Caenorhabditis elegans: one gene and its partners. The protein of the gene in region 2 purifies or fractionates together with the protein of the main gene of each other region. This does not show direct contact. Each region holds a gene or a part of one and is shown on either strand. Other genes may lie near its edges. The genes, in order: F29B9.1, agl-1 and R12B2.3.

Region 1 (3,753 bases), on a different chromosome or scaffold from region 2:
AAGGTATAATTATTGAAGGAATATAAATGGTTCCGCGGATTGTGAACGTTCTGACCCCGCCAAAATGTTCTCAAATTAACGAATTTCGTTTGAAACTTCTGAAAAAATTCTCAATATTTTTTTGGTTTTTTTGGAGGTTCAAAATTAAAAAAAAAAGACTAAATTTGGCTAAAATCTCCTATTTTCCGAGATTTTAAAAGCATTTTTGAGAAGCCTCATCACGAAATTCGTTGATTTGAGCACATTTAGGATCGTAATGTTCGAAATACCCTTCTTTCAACTGAAATTGGTTTTCTCAAAGCTTATTAACTCTATTTTCAGGGCGAGAAAATCTTCTACATCGCCGCGCCAACGGAGCAGAACTTTGCAGCTTATCAAGCACACGAGACATCTCCGGACACCACTACATGGTTCGGTGACATTGCCAACGGAGCTGTTAAGCGAGTTGTGATCAAGGAAGGTCAGACACTGCTCATCCCGGCTGGTTGGATTCACGCGGTTCTCACTCCAGTCGATTCGCTCGTTTTTGGAGGAAACTTCTTGCATTTGGGAAATCTTGAGATGCAAATGCGCGTGTACCATCTCGAAAACGCGATTCGTAAGGAAATTAGAAGCGAGGAGAAGTTCTACTTTCCGAATTTCGAACTTCTTCATTGGATGTACATGCGAAACGTCTTGCTTGAGAAGATTACAGGTAAGCAATTTACTAGTTTGTATAGCGGTTTTACTAATATTCGCTACATTTCAGAAGCCAATCAGGAAGGTTCTGACATGCGTGAGCAGGAGAAGAATATTTGGACGGCGTCACAAATCATGAAGGCCGAAATGGAGCGCTGGATGGATCGAGAGTTGAGATTGGGTCCCGAGAAGAACGCGATCCTGCCCACTGACGACAAGAATAAGATTATGATCTCGGTGAGGAAGCAGATTGAGATTCAGACGAAGATTCAGAATGCCAAGAATAAGCCGATGGGGTTGAAGCAGAAACGTAAAAGTCGAGAATCCGCGGAGCGGGATGATGAGGACTATTGCCCGTCCAGCTCGACTGCCTACAAGAAGAAGTATACGAAAAAGGCTAAGAAGGACAATGATGATGCTCCGAAGGTGAAGAAGGCGAAGAAAGAGGAAGTTCCCGAGGAGAAGGTTCCGGTTCCTGAAGCAGCAGGTCCTTCCGAAGTTACAGCTCCATTGACCATCAAGATTGGAATGGGACCGACTGAAGATCAGAAGGGCGTTGTCCAGATATTCAATAATCAATGCACGTCGTCTGGAAGAAAAGTAAAGTTGAATCAGAACGTGGCCGACTATTGTGGATCCCATCTCGAAGCACGCGTCGAAGAGATTCCGGAAAAGGCGACGAAAAGCTTCCGCGAGCTTGACAACGAACTGGAGCGCTGTGAAGCTGTTCATTCCGGAGAGAAAATCAAGAAGGTTAAAGAGCCAAAGCCACCGAAGCAACCAAAAGAGAAAAAGGAGAAACCACCACGTAAGAAAAGATCGAAACCTTGAGAACTGTTTAATAATTTTTTTTTTCAGCAAAGAAAAAGGAAATGAGTTCCAGAGATCGCCTCATGAAGAAGCTCAAAATGTGAACGTCCTCTACCTCAAGATATGTGTGCACTTTGACGAAATATAAATCTCGTACAATTATAAAGTGCCCCCCGATCTTAATAGTAATTTCCCCGTATTTTTGACTAATTTTTACATTCGTTTTATTGTTTTATTCACACAATCCCATATTCTTTCACGCGGTTCTTTTGCATCCAAAAATTTGTACAAGACGATCTCCCGAATTTACTGACGGGGATTTTTTTGTAGTTTGAAAATACACACGCACAATAAAGCGTTGATTATGTTAATTTTTTTCCTTGATGTGAACATTGTTGAAAGTGAAATGCAAGAAAATATCTGCTTTTTAGACTTTAAACTTGGATTTCCTAGAAGAGATCTCTCTAGAGAGTGAACAGAGAATTAGAGAAACGAGGCAAATGCAAATGCAAAAAAAGCTCTATGGAACTACTTTTTTCAGATTTTGGAATTTATTATTTATTTTCGGGTTTTAAAATAGCTTGAAATGAGCGACATGAGCGAACAAAGTGTTGAAATTGCTTCTTCACAACTTGGAACCAAGGATTTGTAAGTAAAAATTCTAAAAATTTACATCTAGAGTTGGCTAAAACATTTTTATTTCAGCTGGGATCAACGATACGAGTTGGAACTTAAAAATTTCAAGCAACACGGAGATGAGGGAGAGGTGTGGTTCGGAACATCGTCTGAAACACGAATCGTAAAATATTTAATCGATTCGAAAACCGGCAAAGATGCAAAGATTCTTGATTTGGGATGTGGAAATGGATCGGTTTTGAGGAAATTGGTATGGATTTCGAGCTCAAAACCTCTGAAATTCAGTTTTTTTTCAGAGATCGAAAGGATTCCAGAGTCTGAAAGGTGTTGATTATTGTCAAAAAGCTGTTGATCTTTCTGCAGCCGCTTCGAAAGCTGAGCGAGAAGAGGAAGAAGACGAAGAATTAGTAGATATTGAATTTGAGGTGTAAATTTTTGAATTTTGCATCATTAAAAACGGAGAAGAGGTGTTTATTCATCTAAAACATAAATTTTTGCATAAATAACGAAAAAATAGCTAATTATTTTGAATTTCCGCGCAAATAAATTACCTAGTTCCGACATTTTCGCGTTTTCCGACTAATTTGATTGGTTTCTTTTGTAAAAACACCGTTTATCAATTTTCAGACATTTTCCCGGGAAGAAGGCCTGAAAAGCGCTAAGTTTACTTTAATTTATAATTTTTTTGCGGAAAACTTTCTAAAAATTGACAAGGGGTGTTTCAAAAGTTTAAGGAAAATATAAGAAAATCGAAGAAAACGCGAAATGTCGAAACTAGGTTATTAATTTGCTCGGGAATTTAAAATTAATTCACCAATTTGAATTTTTTCTGCAAACCGCCTTTAAATATTGTTTTTCTCGAAATTTCAAAGCAAAAACGTTTTCTTTCAGCAATTGGACATAACCACACCGCCAGCCGACTTTTTCTCCTCGAAATTCGATGTAATTCTCGATAAAGGCACATGGGACGCGATGAGCCTATCCGATGAACGAGAAGCTCGTCTGAAAGCCTACTTGGGTTTTCTTGATAATGGTCTGAGCGCTGGCGGTCGATTTGTGATATTCTCGTGTAATTTCACTTTGTAAGTAGGCCTAAAAAGGGCCTCGAAATGAAACTTCTAAATAGGTCACTCCAAAAAATTGAGCGGCATACGAGCACTTTGAAACTGAGAAAAGTTGATCTGAAACAGCTTCCAGACCATTTTTTTCCATTAAAAAGTTTATCAAAAATTTGCATTGTTTTTTGACCAAAAATTTTTTGACCAAAGTTTTCAGTTAAAAATTGTATTTTTTCAATTAGGGAGATTTAAAAAAGAAAATCAATTTAGATATTTCCAACAATTTTCCAAGGTTTCAGAAAAAATCGGAATTTTTTTTGACTGAACCAAATTTTTTGATTAAAAAAAGTCAGGATTTTTGAATTTTTTAAAAATCGTCTCAAATTGTTCATTAGATTCAAAAAAAATATTGAAAAAATGAGCTGAACCGAGTTCAGATCGATTTTTTCTAGTTCAAAGTTCTCGTATGCACCTAAATTTTTTGAAGTTACTCTTTCAAATGACATATGCAAGTTCAAATACTTCCATTGTAAGTCGAAATCAATTGTTTTCCTTTTCAGCGACGAGATGT
Region 2 (3,753 bases):
CGTTCTTCGGTGTAGCGAGCAAAATCCCAGACACGAGCAGTTCCGTCGTCGGAAGCTGTCGCGAACTTTACATCGGTTGGAGCAAACCTATAAATTGAACAAATAATTATTTAGGTCACCAAACTCATAACTTACGCCAGACCTCTGATGGCTTCATCCTTGTGTGCTGAAAACATGTGCGCGTTGTTCATGTTCGGCTGCCAGTATTTCACATATCCACCTTGATCCGCACTTAAAAGCCATTGCTCGTTGGATGCCCATTTTAGAGCCCGAATCGCAGAGTCATGAGCCTAAAAAGTTATTTTATTTTGAGCATGATTCTGTCTCAAAAGCTCAAAAAATGAATTATAATTTTATGCGATTAGAACTTTCGAACTCTTGCGCATATATAAATATTTCAACGACAAGTCCGTTTTTTTTCAAACTTTTCTACTATCACGTCTGATTGTGTGCACAAAACTTAGAAAATGCCAAATGAAAACCTTTTATTCACATCAAATACCGCGAAATGCCGCATTAGAAACGATGTGAATACTTTATTGGTTGAGCATAAAAAGGTGAACATAATATACAAAATCGTAATCCATCGGGTTGTGTGCTTTACCTGAAGAATCGTCTCGAAATTGAAGGCTGTGCCATTCCACAGTGTGAACTCGCCAGTTTGGCATCCTGTGATCAATCGTTTACCCTCTGGCGACCACTGAAATTTGAGATATATACAATTTTAATTTTAAAATTGTGCAAAAACAGCATTAAAAACTCACGCAAACACTATAAACCGGGCATTTGACTTTATTCATGGCCGTTCGTATGAACTTTGTCAATATGCAATCCACTGGAACATCAGGAGTTGAATCTGCAGGGACGGCATATTGTTGGTATAAGATATCGGGTTGTTGAAGAATCCGTTGTTTGCCATATTGCCAAAGTCGGTTCTGAACGATTTACAAGAATAACTAGGAAATTTTATTTATGAAATATCTACCTCGCAATGGTTCAATACAGTAGAAACATAATCCACATGTCTTCTAACGTTTGCCACATTCTTCCTCAACCGCCGTCCAGGACCATCACCCATCACGTCTGGCATCACATGTTCTCTTTGAAATCGATTATGCGGATGGTGGTGATTGTTCATAATTCTCGGCTGAGAATTCTGCATTGACGATGTAGATGGTTGAATTGTTAGAGTAACATTCGGCATCTGATTGCCACGCATCATTCCACCGTTCATGTTGAAAGACGCCGATAAAATTTAAATTTAGATTTTTAGCAATTAAGGACAAAACCAACTATGTTTGATACGGCTGTCATCCTTAGTGTTATTACGAATTCATTGGCAGATGCACTCGCCTGGAATTCAGAAATACAACTATTTAGTCCAAAGCATTAAGTTTAGCTTGAAAGTTAGAAAAAAAGGTGATGAAGCAACATATTCTGTTCATTTTTAATTAAAGCAAATATTTTATAAAGTCTGAAAATATAAAAAAATATCAAAAAATCGATAAATTCCAGCTGAGAAAATCAGAGAAGCAACACAAAAAACACGTTCAAATCTTCTTGGTCCGCAAACAACATACCCCACGCCGTAGTGCACACAAAATACCACACTTGACGCACGCCGCGGTTTTTTAAATCGAAAAAATAAGGAGAGAAAAAGAAGAAAACGATGAAGAAAGTCACGTTGCGCTGCCATGTGCTACACTTTTCGATGGCTCAACGCGTTCGGGTGGCCCTCGAAATATAGAAAATCGATAGGTTGGTTGAGGAAACTATGGGTTTCCGCAGTTCTGTTCTTGGAGGATTTTTTACCTATAAAAAATATTAAAATCTTTACCTCCTTTTACATGAATAGATAAAGTTCAATAAAACAAGCATTATGTTTTTTAGAAATCAATATTCGTCCTTGAAAGATTTAATCTCATTCTCTAATTCCCATTGATTAAAAGACAAAAAGATAGCGATCTCTTATCACAAATTTTTTATTGTTTTTGTTGACTTTTCATCTTTGACTACCTATTTTCTCTAAAAACATGTTGTTCTGTTGGGTCATAATGCCCTCATATTCAGACCACGCGCACCAACAGCTTTTCGTAGTTTTCTTTATTATATTTATTTTTTAAATTGGAGTTTATTAAAAATGAAACTTCAGGCCAATACAACGACCACAAACTTTAAATCCAGCGCTCGATGGGTGAAGAAAAAGAAATCCGAATCATTGTTCTTGAAGATGGAGAGCACTTGGAAAGTGTTATAAGAAAAATTGAGAAAGGTTCTTTGTTTATAAAATTAAAAATATTTATCTAAACTTTTTTCAGGTTGGATAGTTCGATTCAAGCGCGGCTCTTCACTTCTTGGAAAGAAAGTTAAAGTTTTCACCTCTATTTGCCCTGGAAATTCTCTGGAATGGTCTGAAGGAAAAGACCACTTGGCAGTTTACTGTCAAGTGGAATGCAAGGAAGCTGGATCCTTCAGATATTGGTTTAAAATTGAGGATTCTGAAGAGCGAGGCAGTGGATACTTCTTGGTGATGCCAGAGCTGAAGATCAACGGAAAATGCCTGCCGCTCGATGGAATCGCTTGCCAAACGTACCTCACAAAGCTTCTAGGACCGCTTTCCGAGTGGAAAGAACGACTTGAAGTTGCACATCAGACAGGATATAACATGATCCATTTGACTCCTATCCATGAGCTTGGAATCTCAAATAGTAGCTATTCCCTCAGTGATCATCATTCTTTGATTAAAACCATCCAGTCGCAGGATCAAAAGTTCGGATTTGAAGACGTGCAAGCGCTCGTGGGAGATCTTGAGCGGTCCTGGAACATACTCACAGTACAGGATGTTGTGTGGAATCACGCAGCAAAGAATGCCACGTGGCTTCTGGAGCATCCAGAGTCTGCCTATAACTGCTTGAATAGTCCACATCTTCGGCCAGCATATGTAATTGACAGAGTGTATCACGAATTTGGAAAGCAGATTGGAGAAGGTGTGTGGGAACATCGTGGTGTTCCACCAGTCGTTGACAATATTCACCATGTAAATGCAATCGAGTATCTTCTGAGAGCAGAAGTTTTGCCAAAGGCCGATCTTCACGAGTTTTATCAAGTGGATTTGAAGGTAAATAAAACATTCTAACTATAAGAAAAAACATTCAATTTTCAGGCAATGGTTAACCTATTCGAGGTGTTCATCAAACAATCTAGTGGTCCCACAACGAACCCGTTGGACGGAGAAGATGTAGAAATCGAACAAGATTTAGAATGTCGAAGATTCGGAAACACTGTGGACTTTGAGAGATCCGCTAGAATTTTCAATCGACACCGGGGAGATGCTAAGTCAGGTATTGAAGCATAAATCAGCAAAAAACAGCTTTATATATATGTATATAAAAGGCATTACCTTAATTTTCAGAAGAAGAACGAGTGGAAAAATGCGTTCGAAGCTTTGAAGAAGCCCTCAATAACAAAAATCTCGAAGCCGCTCGCGAGTCATGGGAAGTGATTTTAGCCGGCTTGGCAGCAGTGATGGGAGGAATCACATATGAGCGAATTGCTGATAACGGCCCGAAAAAGGGACTTGTATCTCCGGAAAACCCGTTGACAACTGATTATTTTCTGCATTTGGAGGCAGATCTCGGGTGGAAATCAGAAGAGAAATTCGCATATGATCCAGAAAAGTCAAAGTTTTTAATGGCTTTTAATGGATGGGTTATGAGCAGTGATCCGATGAAGAATTTTGCGCTGAAAGAATCT
Region 3 (3,753 bases), on a different chromosome or scaffold from region 2:
TCCGCCAACTGTGATTATGATCCAGAATTGCATAAAAAGAGCATTCCTATCATTATTCTCTTCCAATGCATGTAAGATTTTAATTTTAATGTTAGATTTGCTGAAATATTTTTTCAGGAAAGCATTTATCAAAGATAATTCTGGCAACAAGCTGGACTTGACGATGTGCGATCTCGTGACACCTGCAAAACACGAACATCGATTCAGAAAGCTGACAAGTTTTCTTGTAGATTTTCTGAAACTTCACGAATTGGCCACTCCAGCGTTCAATGAAATTAGCGAAGAGTTCAGTGATCGAAAGTTCGAAATGGAAAAGATTCGGGAAGAGTTGTTAGAAGCCGAGAAGAAGAAAAATGATCTTCTCGCGAAACAAAGCATAAGAAAACGTCATGAGCATGAATTAATCAACGAACAGAGCAATGCGAAGGCAGAACTTAAAAATGTTGTGAACGAATATACCGAAACTCGTCAAATTAATGAAGAACTCGACAAGCAGAAAGAAGAAGCTATTCTGCACATTCAAGCCCTCGAAAAGGAAATGCTAACTGGTAAAAAGACAATTGAGCATTTGAATGAAGAAGTTCTGACATCGCCGGAACAGCTGAAACAAGAAATGGAGGAAAGGAAACGTCACATTGAAGAGCTCCGCGATTGTCTTGAATCATCAAAGTACTGATATATCTTCAGTCTCTCCAAAAATTCAAAATAAAAGTAATTATTTTCAGAAAAGGCCTTCAAGCAAAACTCGAGGCTCGTGAAATTTGCATCAACTCGGAGAAGAACGTGCCAGTGATTATTGAGAAGATCCATCAGTGGACTGAAGTTCGAGAAGTTATCATTGACCTGATCGATGTTGAAAGTGAGAATCTTCGAAAGCTCAAGGAAATGGAGGAGCAATTGGATTTTATGATGAAGGAGATGGAAACGGCACAAAAGCGACTCGTCGAGCAGTCGGAGACTCATGAACAATTGCGTATAGAACACACGCAGAAAAGTGAAGAGCGTCAGCGTAGAATTGAGGAGATTACCGAGTGAGGAATTTATTTGATACTTTGAAAACATTTTTTTAAACGATGTAAATCTTTCAGGCAAATCGCAAATTTGAAAACTAGTCAGCCAGATGTGTCACAGGAAATTGCTAAAAAGGTTTTTGTCAGATCAATCTTCATAAAACTCACCAACATTTTTTTCAGAAGCAAGAACTCCTCGCTCTAAAAAACGCACACAGTGAGACGATTTCCCAAATCACCAACTCTTGCCAAGATGCTGTTGCAAAATTCGCAAAACTTAATGCAATGTTCAAAGAAACCCAGAAAGTAGCTTTTGAGAAGAACACTGCAGCTGCACGTGAAATGGAACGTCTAAAAAGCTCTCTTACCGGACGCCTTCTGAGTGATTACACATTCGGATCATCGACAATCGACGCCGGAGAGAACACGGAAAATTGTGATCCACAACCTAACGATTCGAGTTTTTCCGTTTTCAAATAGAATGACTCAACTCGAAAATTTCACTTCATTTGATCTCTATTCAATGTAAATGTTATGCTTTCTTCCATACCAATAACAAAATTTTAACTGAGTCTAAATAAATCATGTGGTCTTTATTTTCAAATGTTTTCTTTTCATTCCCAGGCTCTAGAAATTTCACACCAATTTACTTTTCAGGTAAGAATTCACTCAAGTGGTATTTACGGGGAGATTATGTGCCTCTGTTTTTAATTAAAAATAAAATTAGAAATTTTGAATTTTTTGCCTTGTATTTTTTTGTTTGCGTCTTTAAGACTACAGTAAGACAAAAAGTGGGCGTGGTTTCTTATTTTGGAGAAAGCTCAAACAGGGAATAAGTGAGAGTCGGAAGTTTTGAAACGTTTTTTGAAAAAAAAATTATCTTGAAATGAAAACTTTTCCAGAAATTTTAAACTTCTCTTCGCTCATTAGCTCTACAAGTTGGAATTGTCCTTCTGAATTGAATATTATCCTACCAAAATTCTAAATAAATTTAAATAAATCGTGCGGGCCTCGAGTTATTGCATTCAACATTGACATTTTTCGTTCATTTCTCAATTTTTGTATTGTATTTCTGAAAAATTCACTCTACAAATTATGCAGTAAGCTTTTTCAAATAATGTTCTTTTCAGATTTTATAATTTTCAGACCATTAGACCTTTCGGGTAAGAGATTAGTTCGACCAGATGATTCAAATGGTACAAGATCTTCCACTGATGATGTACATTCGATGTGCTCTCAGGTGAGCATTCATAGTACATGATGATGTTTTAGTTTTATATATGTAAAAGAAACGCTCTTTGAAGTTAATTGCTTTCCATGTGTATAAACTAATCATAAACTAAACTGCAAGAAATTAAAATAAAATTATATTTAAAAGCTCTCAAATCTGGGACCCCGATCTCTTCCAAATGCTCGTTCCCTTGGTAGCTCAACATCTTCAATTCTTCTGCTTCATAAAACTTACAAGGAAACATCGGCCCCGCCTCCAAATCAAGTCGCATTCAAATCAGTCATCTTGGCAAATACCCAACTTGTGACGGAATTCCTTCAAAACGGAGAGCTTCCAACTTTCAAAAAACAAAGCTCGCGGAGCACCAACAATCCCTGGAGACGATACGGTGCTCTACGCAAGATTTGTGAAACCGGAGGTTTCGCTCCGAATAGTGGATCAAAGAAGGAGAGGAAGAATCGAGAGACTTTAATGGCGGTTAAGGTAATATCTCGTGGATCCTGTCACCATTCAAGTGGATAATCTGAATCATTAATTTTTATTCTATTCCAGCAAAATGTCAAAGTCCCAATTGCACCAACATCTGCTCAAATGACATTGAACAAAGTTAAGGATCCGGGACCGTAGTAAGTTTTTAAAAAATCTAGATTTTTTGGAATTAATTTTTGAAATGGTTAGGCTTCCAAAGTATGGTGCTACCTCTGGCCTACCTACAGCCTATTTTTTCTGCTTTGACGCAAACTCCGATGTTTGGAAGAAGTTTGTTTGGCCGATTTCTAATACTAGTGAGAAGAAAAAACTCCACTTTTTGGGTGTAAATAAAAATTATTAATACTTTTAATCCAACTTTAAGATTAATTCCAAATATATATCCTAATAGTAAGATATCTTACCCATTTCCTCTTACCTTTTTGATCAAATATTTGAAAAGACTTCTCATATTGTTACCCAATCAAAAAAACATTTCAGTGAGAATAAGCTGGCTCTGAAAGTTCCGAAGAATACGACAGTCGATGTGGCGGCTCAAAATCTTGCCGAGCAAGTGAAGGTGAATAACCTAGAAGAAAAATCGATAGAAATGTCCTGTCTCTTTTTCTTTTCACTCTCTCATTTCCAGATATTCATTCTTCAATATGGTGTTGAATTGGTGGATAATGAACCGGAGATCAATCAAGGCGTTAAATCGAAATGAAATATTGAAATTTGATTATTTGAATAAAGTTGAAGAGCAACGAAACTTGTTAGATTTTTTAATAAAATGTCGGCCATCAGCCACAGCCGGCCACCCAGCAGCCGTCGTCTCCTTTTATTGACTTGACCATCTCTTTTCCACCCTCCTGTTTCTTCATACTATTCTCTGACTTTTTATTAATTAAAATATTTAATGGATCTACTAGATCTATACCATGCTCATGATTTGCAACTTGCATCTGAAGGAAATTTTGAGGAAGTGCATTTTACGAAAAGAGCAGAAGAAGATGGAAATTCAAGTCCTGAGAGTAAAGGAAAAAT

What was found.
Region 1: the proteins of agl-1 (region 2) and F29B9.1 fractionate together in Caenorhabditis elegans (co-fractionation; one large-scale study listed by BioGRID). This does not show direct contact.
Region 3: the proteins of agl-1 (region 2) and R12B2.3 fractionate together in Caenorhabditis elegans (co-fractionation; one large-scale study listed by BioGRID). This does not show direct contact.

The regions. Positions count from the first base shown.
Region 1 is NC_003282.8:4,663,350-4,667,102, forward strand, and holds the start of F29B9.1 (Protein-lysine N-methyltransferase CELE_F29B9.1), read left to right. Parts: upstream 1-2,029; 5' UTR 2,030-2,074; coding exon 2,075-2,136; intron 2,137-2,193; coding exon 2,194-2,374; intron 2,375-2,420; coding exon 2,421-2,549; intron 2,550-3,015; coding exon 3,016-3,206; intron 3,207-3,742; coding exon 3,743-3,753. Other genes in the region: jmjd-1.2 (JmjC domain-containing protein), read left to right, coding at 1-3, 322-694, 749-1,486, 1,537-1,592.
Region 2 is NC_003280.10:14,355,968-14,359,720, reverse strand, and holds the start of agl-1 (Glycogen debranching enzyme), read left to right. Parts: upstream 1-1,607; 5' UTR 1,608-1,758; intron 1,759-2,152; 5' UTR 2,153-2,190; coding exon 2,191-2,272; intron 2,273-2,318; coding exon 2,319-3,118; intron 3,119-3,163; coding exon 3,164-3,341; intron 3,342-3,412; coding exon 3,413-3,753. Other genes in the region: pre-mRNA 3' end processing protein pfs-2, read right to left, coding at 1-87, 136-290, 605-700, 765-935, 986-1,234.
Region 3 is NC_003281.10:5,803,505-5,807,257, forward strand, and holds R12B2.3 (Ras-associating domain-containing protein), read left to right. Parts: upstream 1-2,068; 5' UTR 2,069-2,105; coding exon 2,106-2,110; intron 2,111-2,156; coding exon 2,157-2,250; intron 2,251-2,388; coding exon 2,389-2,724; intron 2,725-2,793; coding exon 2,794-2,867; intron 2,868-3,210; coding exon 3,211-3,289; intron 3,290-3,358; coding exon 3,359-3,433; 3' UTR 3,434-3,478; downstream 3,479-3,753. Other genes in the region: him-10 (Kinetochore protein Nuf2 homolog), read left to right, coding at 1-71, 118-669, 726-1,031, 1,089-1,146, 1,194-1,490; R12B2.2 (Golgin-45), read left to right, coding at 3,626-3,753.